2 linked regions of the Macaca fascicularis genome follow. The protein of the gene in region 1 purifies or fractionates together with the protein of each later gene. This does not show direct contact. Links are inferred from orthologs where the notes say so. Each region holds a gene or a part of one and is shown in the gene's direction. Other genes may lie near its edges.

What was found.
Region 2: the proteins of SGF29 (region 1) and TAF10 purify together in Homo sapiens (affinity purification with mass spectrometry; 3 studies listed by BioGRID and IntAct, with this or other methods). This does not show direct contact. The link is inferred for Macaca fascicularis from reciprocal best matches to the Homo sapiens genes SGF29 and TAF10.

The regions. Positions count from the first base shown.
Region 1 is NC_088394.1:27,811,706-27,815,708, forward strand, and holds the start of SGF29 (SAGA-associated factor 29), read left to right. Parts: upstream 1-1,203; 5' UTR 1,204-1,500; intron 1,501-4,003. UniProt on the Homo sapiens protein: Chromatin reader component of some histone acetyltransferase (HAT) SAGA-type complexes like the TFTC-HAT, ATAC or STAGA complexes.
Region 2 is NC_088388.1:59,466,798-59,470,079, forward strand, and holds TAF10 (transcription initiation factor TFIID subunit 10), read left to right. Parts: upstream 1-1,406; 5' UTR 1,407-1,431; coding exon 1,432-1,678; intron 1,679-1,801; coding exon 1,802-1,956; intron 1,957-2,171; coding exon 2,172-2,236; intron 2,237-2,320; coding exon 2,321-2,435; intron 2,436-2,612; coding exon 2,613-2,702; 3' UTR 2,703-2,782; downstream 2,783-3,282. Other genes in the region: scaffold protein ILK, read right to left, coding at 3,013-3,162. UniProt on the Homo sapiens protein: The TFIID basal transcription factor complex plays a major role in the initiation of RNA polymerase II (Pol II)-dependent transcription.

The DNA.
Region 1 (4,003 bases):
TGAGCATGGTGGTTCATGCCTGTAATCCCACAACTTTGGGAGGCTGAGGCAGGAGGATCGCTTGAGCCCAGGAACTCAAGACCAGCCTAGGCAACATAGCAAGACCCCCATCTCTACCAAAAAAATTTAAAAATCAGCAGAATGTGCTGGTGTGCGCTTGTAGTCCTAGCTACTCAGAAGCCCTGATAGCACCACTGCACTCCAACCTGGACAACAGAGCGAGACCTGGACAACAGAGCGAGACCTGGACAACAGAGCGAGACCCTGTCTTATAGAGAAAAAAAAGAAAAAGAAACGTGACGGCTAGGCACTGTGCTAGGTACTAGGAATACACAGGTGAACACAAGATGATCCTAATCTCATAGGACTTGCAAGTTTATCAAATAATCTACAAATAATTACAGACATTTGTAGGGTTATGTAAGAAATTATACGATACCAAGATGGATTTCGATAAATACCACTGAGGCTATGCGTCCATTGCACGTCCATATCCTTAATACTTTCCTGAGAAGACCCCCTAAAAGTGCTATTTCTGGATCTAAAGGTCTGCTTGTTTTTTTTTTTTTTTGTTTTGTTTTTTTTTGAGATGTAGAGTTTCCCTCTTGATACCCAGGCTGGAGTGCAATGGCGCAATCTCCGGTCACTACAACCTCCGCCTCCTGGATTCAAGCGATTCTCCAGCCTCAGCCTCCCAAGTAGCTGGGATTGCAGGCACCCACCACCACGCCCGGCTAATTTCTGTATTTTTTAGTAGAGACAGGGTTTCACCATGTGGGTCAGGCTGGTCTCGAAGTCCTTAACTCAGGTGATCCGCCCGCCTCAGCCTCCCAAAGTGTTGGGATTACAGGCGTGAGCCACCGCGCCCGGCCTGTTTTTAATTAATTTTTTAACAATAGACTTTATTGACTTTAGTTTTTAGGGCATTTTTAGGTTCACAACAAAATTGCGCAGAAAGTACGGTTTTTGTATTACCTGCACCCACTCCTCTCCAGCAAGCAGCAATCTCTTCGTTTTCAAGTTGGGTTTTTTTTGTTTTTTTTTTTTTTTGCATTTTGTTTTAAATAGTCTGGGGGAATGGGAGAAAACGCTGAAAACGCACAAGCACTTTGGTTGGTTAAATTAGGGTTCCGCCAAGTAAAAACTACATTTCCCACCCGGCAGCGGGTCACGTCACAGAGGAACGACTGCGCATGCGTTCAAGGTCCTCCGCGCGCGACTGCGCTCATAAAAGGAAAAAAAAAAAACGTGTGCGGCTCTCGACGTGCCGCCAATCTTCGAACGCAGGTCCGTGATCATCCGCAGACTCCGAAAAAGCGTTCAAGGAACGCGCCAGCTTCCCTCGTCGCAGTTTCCAGCCCGAAGACCTTGTTTTCTGCGAGACTCGGTAGGTGGGGACGGGCCGTGGCCTGAGACCTCCGGCGAAGCGCGGGAGCGAAGGGCTAAACCCTCCCTCAGCGCCCAGTCTCCCGTCCTCCTTCAGGCGGCGCTCTAGGGACGGTGCGTACGTGCTCTGAGCGGGAGGGGGGCGGGAGGGGCGGGGCTGGGGGGCGGGAGGGGCGGGACTCGACGGTGGGGCGGGCCCTGCGCCCAGCCGTTCGAGGTCTGCGCGTGCGCGCTTCCATCCCGGGCTAGGGTGGGAGACAGCAGTACGCCGGGCTTGGCAGGGAGGCAGCCCCCAGGTCGGGTGCATGGCCCGGGTCACGAAGATGCGGACAGAAGATGGGCCCCGAACTCCAGCATTTATTTTATTATTTGCACAAAAATTATCTTTTTTTTTTTTTTGAAGATACACTAACAGCTCGTAATTTGCCCAGGCTGGTCTCGAACTCGTTGGCTCAACCTCTCGCCTCGGCCTTCCAAAGTGTGGGGAGTATAGGCATAAGCCCCCGTGCCTGGCCAAAAAATGCCCATCTTAGGAACAACAAAGCAGCCCCCTTCACCCTCGCTGTCCTCCAGTTACCTCCTCCTCGCCTCCGGTTTGCAGCCAGAGGCCTCAGTCTACCCTCATTAGTGCCTTTTCTCCTTCAAGTCTTGAACCTTGAGCCTCTAGTCAGGCTTTGGTCTCCACCACTCCACTAAACCGGCTTCTTGTCAAAGCCACCAGTGATCTCTAGATGGCCAAATTCATTGTTAAGTTAGGTGTCAGTCCTGTATCAGCATCTGGTGCTGTTGATCGCTGCACTTTCTTGAAACACTGTTTTCATTTGGCTTGCTGAACGTTCTCTTCCTTTGCCTCTCCTCACTCTGGCTTCTCCTCTGCTGATTTTAACCTAGGCATCTCACTTTTTTTTTTTTTCTTAGAGACAGGTTCTCTGTTGCTCAGACTGGAGAACAGTGGTGCTATCACAGCTCACTGCAGTCTCTTGCAGCCTTGAACTCCTGGGCTTAAGCAGTCTTCCTAACCAAAGCCTCCCCAAATGCTGGAATTACAGGCATGAGCCACCACAATCCCAGTTTCACATTTTAAATGTAAATGCCAGCCAGGCGTGGTGGCTCACACCTGTAATCCTAGCACTTTGGGAGGCTGAGGCAGGCAGATTGCCTGGGCTCAGGGGTTTGAGACCAGCCTGGGCAACGTGGTGAAATCCAGTCTCTTCTTAAAAAAAAAAAAAAAAAAATTAGCCGGGCTTGGTGGTGCGCACCTGTAATCCCAGCTACTTGGGAGGCTGAGGTACAATAATTGCTTAAACCCAGGAGGTGGAGGCTGCAGTGAGCCAAGATCGTGCCACTGCACTCTAGCCTGGGTGACAGAGCAAGACCCTGTTTCAAAAAAGTCCTAAAGGTGGAAGAAAATCCACATATAAGTGGACCTGCACAATTAAAACCTGTATTGTTCAAGGGTCAACTGTATAGCTATATTGAAAGAGATTTATTGTGATGGATTGGGTCACACAATTACAGAGGCTGAGAAGTCCCAAGATTTGCCTTCTGCAAGCTGGAAGCCCAGGAAAGCAAACCCTCCGGAAACTCACAAACACACTCAAAAGTATTTCACCAGCTATCTGGGCATCCCCTAGCCCAATCAGGTTGACGCATGAAGTTAACCATCACATTTCCCTAGCTTTGTTTTTCAGTTGCCTCAGTCATCATTTTACTGGTGATACTTTGAGTGTTGTCATAATAGCCTAATGGTGGTTTGGCAGCTTCCACTTCCATGATCTCTTTTACTCTTGAATATGCTGAAGTCCTGACAAAACTTGGAATTGAGAGGAAGAGCATAGATTTTAGAACCTGCAGCCTTGCAGCCCCAGCTCAACTACCTATTTTTCCTGAGTTACCTAGCATAACCTATCTGAACTTCAATTTCCTTACTATACGTACCATTCTGTTATCTATTTTATAGGATTGCTGTAAGGTTTAAATGAGAGACACTGGCATAAGTTGCAATACAGAGGCATGAAGGAAAAAAATTGTCTTCTTAATGTCTCTTTAACCAATTGATGAATATAGATTGTATTTATTTATTTATTTATGGGATGGAGTCTTGCTCTGTCACCCAGGCCGGAGTGTAGTGGTGCAATGTTGGCTCACTGCAACCTCTGCTTCCCGGTTGTAGCTGGGATTACAAGCGTGCACCACCATGCCTGGCTAATTTTTTTTTTTTTTTTTTTTTGAGACAGAGTTTTGCTCTTTGTTGTCCAGGCTGGAGTGCAGTGGCACAATCTCGGCTCATCACAACCTCTGCCTTCCGGTTTCAAGCAATTCTCCTGCCTCAGCCTTCTGAGTAGCTGTGATTACAGGCATGTGCCACCACACCTGATTAATTTTGTATTTTTAGTAGAGACAGGGTTTCACCATGTTGGCCAGGCTGGTCTTGAGCTCCTGACCTTAGTTGATCCGCCGGCCTTGGCCTCCCAAAGTGCTGGGATTACAGGTGTGAGCCACTGCGCCCAACCTATTTATGTTTTTTTTAGAAACAAGGTCTTACTGTGTCACCCAGGCTGGAGTACAGTGGTGCCATTGTAGCTCCCTATTCCCAAACTCCTAGGCTCAAGGGATC
Region 2 (3,282 bases), on another chromosome or scaffold:
TAGAACTTATCCACTTATATCCCCACTGCTACTACATTAGTTTAGGGCTACATTCTCTTGAAAAGTACAGCGTCCTTACTTCCGGCCAATCCCCAAATCATCTTCCAGAGTAAAATGCAAATCCCATCAGGCCACTTGGATGAAAACCCTTCAAGGATTACTGGATAGAGTTCAGGCTTTTTATTTTCTTCCCCCAATCATAGCTCACAAACCTTCGTTGCTATTTGTTCCTAAGTAACAAATCATTTTTCCTCCTCCCTCCCCAAACCCCAAGGAACTCTCACTCTTGCTCAAGCTGTTCTGTCCCCTTAATACTACCCCTGATACAAACTGCCTGGTTAATTTCCAGAATTCTTACAAGATTCAGCTCAGAAGTCACCTTCTCTCGTGAATGTTTTGATTCCCTGAGGCTACTTCATTTTGCTATGGCTGAAAAATCCTAGATTTTCTAAACAAAACCTGTTTGAATCTTGGTTCTGATATGGACTGGGAGAGAGACTGGGTCAAGCAAGTTTATCTCCCTGAGGCTGTTTCCTCGTCTGTTAAGTGGGAATATTACCTGCCTTTCATAATCACCAGGGAATAAAGTGGAATAATGTTGATAAGAGTACTTGGCACCTGGAAGTAGGTGGCAGATGTTAATGCCCTTCCTCCCTTGCACTGCGACCCCTGTGTCTACCTCTAGTATTGTAACGACCACATAGTATTGAAATAGCCACTTTACTTGTCTGGCTTCCTTTCCAAGACCGTTGGTGCCTAGAGGACTAGAATCGTGTTCTATTTAACTTTGTATTCCCAGGTCCTAGCTCAGGAGTTGGCAAATAAGAATTAAATATCTGCTACATTGAAAATCTCACGCCTTTCACTCGTTGTGATTTTTGCATACGTTGTCGACTTAGGCTGAAACCCCTCCTCCTTCTACAGCAGCACTGTGGGCCGCCCCACTGCTGCCCCCACCTCTCGGGGCAGTTGGTGGAGAAGGGCGGGGGGCTTTCCAAATCCACTATGAATCCTTACAAGGCTGAATAAGGGAACTTGAAAGGATGCAGACAGGCAGGCAATCCGCAGTCGAGGGATGTAGGGCCCATAAACCTCGAAGCAAGGTCTTGAGCGTCAGACAGAATGAGGTGTCCCAGAGCGGCGGAAGAGTCCCGGACGCACGCTGCTTCTAGTCTCGACGGAATCGCCACCGAGCACCGCAGAGGCTAGGGCGGAATGGCGACGGCAGCGCAGTTCGCCAAGGCTTGGTCTCCGCCCTTCAGCCTATTTCCTCTAACCCGCAGACCCACTACCAGAGGAGGCGGGGAGCGGGCTGGAGAGCACTAACAGTGACAGGCGGGGCGAGTCGAGGGCGCGTGACGTCACCCCGGGGTGTGCGCGGCGCGAGCGGAAGCGGAAGCGGCTCTGTTCGCCGCCTCTCCCACCGGCCCGATGAGCTGCAGCGGCTCCGGCGCGGACCCCGAGGCGGCGCCGGCTTCCGCCGCCTCGGCCCCGGGCCCGGCACCCCCGGTCTCGGCTCCCGCAGCGCTGCCCGCCAGCACCGCTGCGGAGAACAAGGCCAGCCCCGCGGGGACAGCAGGGGGGCCTGGGGCTGGAGCAGCTGCTGGGGGCACGGGACCCTTGGCGGCGCGGGCCGGGGAGCCAGCTGAGCGGCGTGGGGCGGGTGAGGGCCTGACGGGTGAGGGCGAGGGAAGCGTCTGGGACTGGGCCCAGCGGCGGGTGAGGGCAGCGGGTATAGACAGACCTCGCTGGGGCCCTGCGCCTCCCACCTCTGTGTCTCATTTTGCTGGTTCTCCTCCAGCTCCGGTGTCGGCGGGTGGCGCGGCGCCCCCAGAAGGGGCCATGTCTAACGGGATTTACGTACTGCCGAGCGCGGCCAACGGAGACGTGAAGCCGGTGGTGTCCAGCACGCCGTTGGTGGACTTCTTGATGCAGCTGGAGGATTACACGCCTACGGTGGGCTTCCGCCCGAACAAGGCCACCTAGCCTGCTGTCACAACTTTCAGCCACATCTCCGTGCTTTTCAGCACCCTCTGATGTTTGCTTCCGTAGTCGCTCTTGTTTTTGCCCTCTGCTCACCCAAATCGTGAGCTTCCTGATAACCAGGTCTATCCGACATTTCCCTCACCCTCATCCCACTCTGCTGACAGTTCTCTTAATTGATTTCTTAGATCCCAGATGCAGTGACTGGTTACTACCTGAACCGTGCTGGCTTTGAGGCCTCAGACCCACGCATGTGAGTAAACCCAGGGCAGGTTAGTTTTGGGTGCTTGTGCAGTGTGTTGTCCATCTCCTTCTCATCTAAGTTTTTTCTCTCTAGAATTCGGCTCATCTCCCTAGCTGCCCAGAAATTCATCTCAGATATTGCCAATGATGCCCTACAGCACTGCAAAATGAAGGGCACAGCCTCCGGCAGCTCCCGGAGCAAGAGCAAGGTGTGAGGGGAGGCTCATTGAATCACTAATTACCTTCCACAACAGTGGAAGCTTATCCTGCCACCCCTTTGGGGAAACTGAATCCTAGGGGAGGTGTAAAACTTACTCAGGGTCACCCATCTGGGATTGAAGTGTGGGATTCCTGTGCTCAGTTGGTGCTCTTCCCTCTTCCCTCAGGACCGCAAGTATACTTTAACCATGGAGGACTTGACCCCTGCCCTCAGCGAGTATGGCATCAATGTGAAGAAGCCGCACTACTTCACCTGAGCCACCCAACCTAAATGTACTTGTCTGTCCCCATGTCCCCACACCAGCCTGTTTTCATAATAAACTTTATTGTGACAGGCGGGGCTGATCCCTCCCATGTTGGGAGACACCATGTGGCAAGTGACAAAGCTCTGAGCCCGCCCCTTTTGGGGCCACAGTGGTAGGGATGGGGGAAGGGGATGGACCCCATGGCTGGGGTAGTACCATGACTGGAGGCAGGGGAGGCAACCAGAGGTCTGCTGCTTTGGGGAAGTACATTCCCCCAACCATGTCCTGACACCTCTGGAGTTCAGGCAAGGGCCTTCCGGTCCTACTTGTCCTGCATCTTCTCCAGGATAGGCACAATCATGTCAAATTTGGGTCGCTTTGCAGGGTCTTCGTTCATGCAGATCTTCATGAGCTTACACACATGAGGGGAAATACCTGGTGGGATGGTAGGCCGAAGGCCTTCCAATGCCACCTGTGAATACAAGAAAAAACTGAGCCTCACAATTTGAGTCTGTCATGTAGAGAGAAGCCACTGGCCCCTGGGACAGGATAACTGTATATCCGAACAAATATGGGAGGAGCCCAGGCCCAC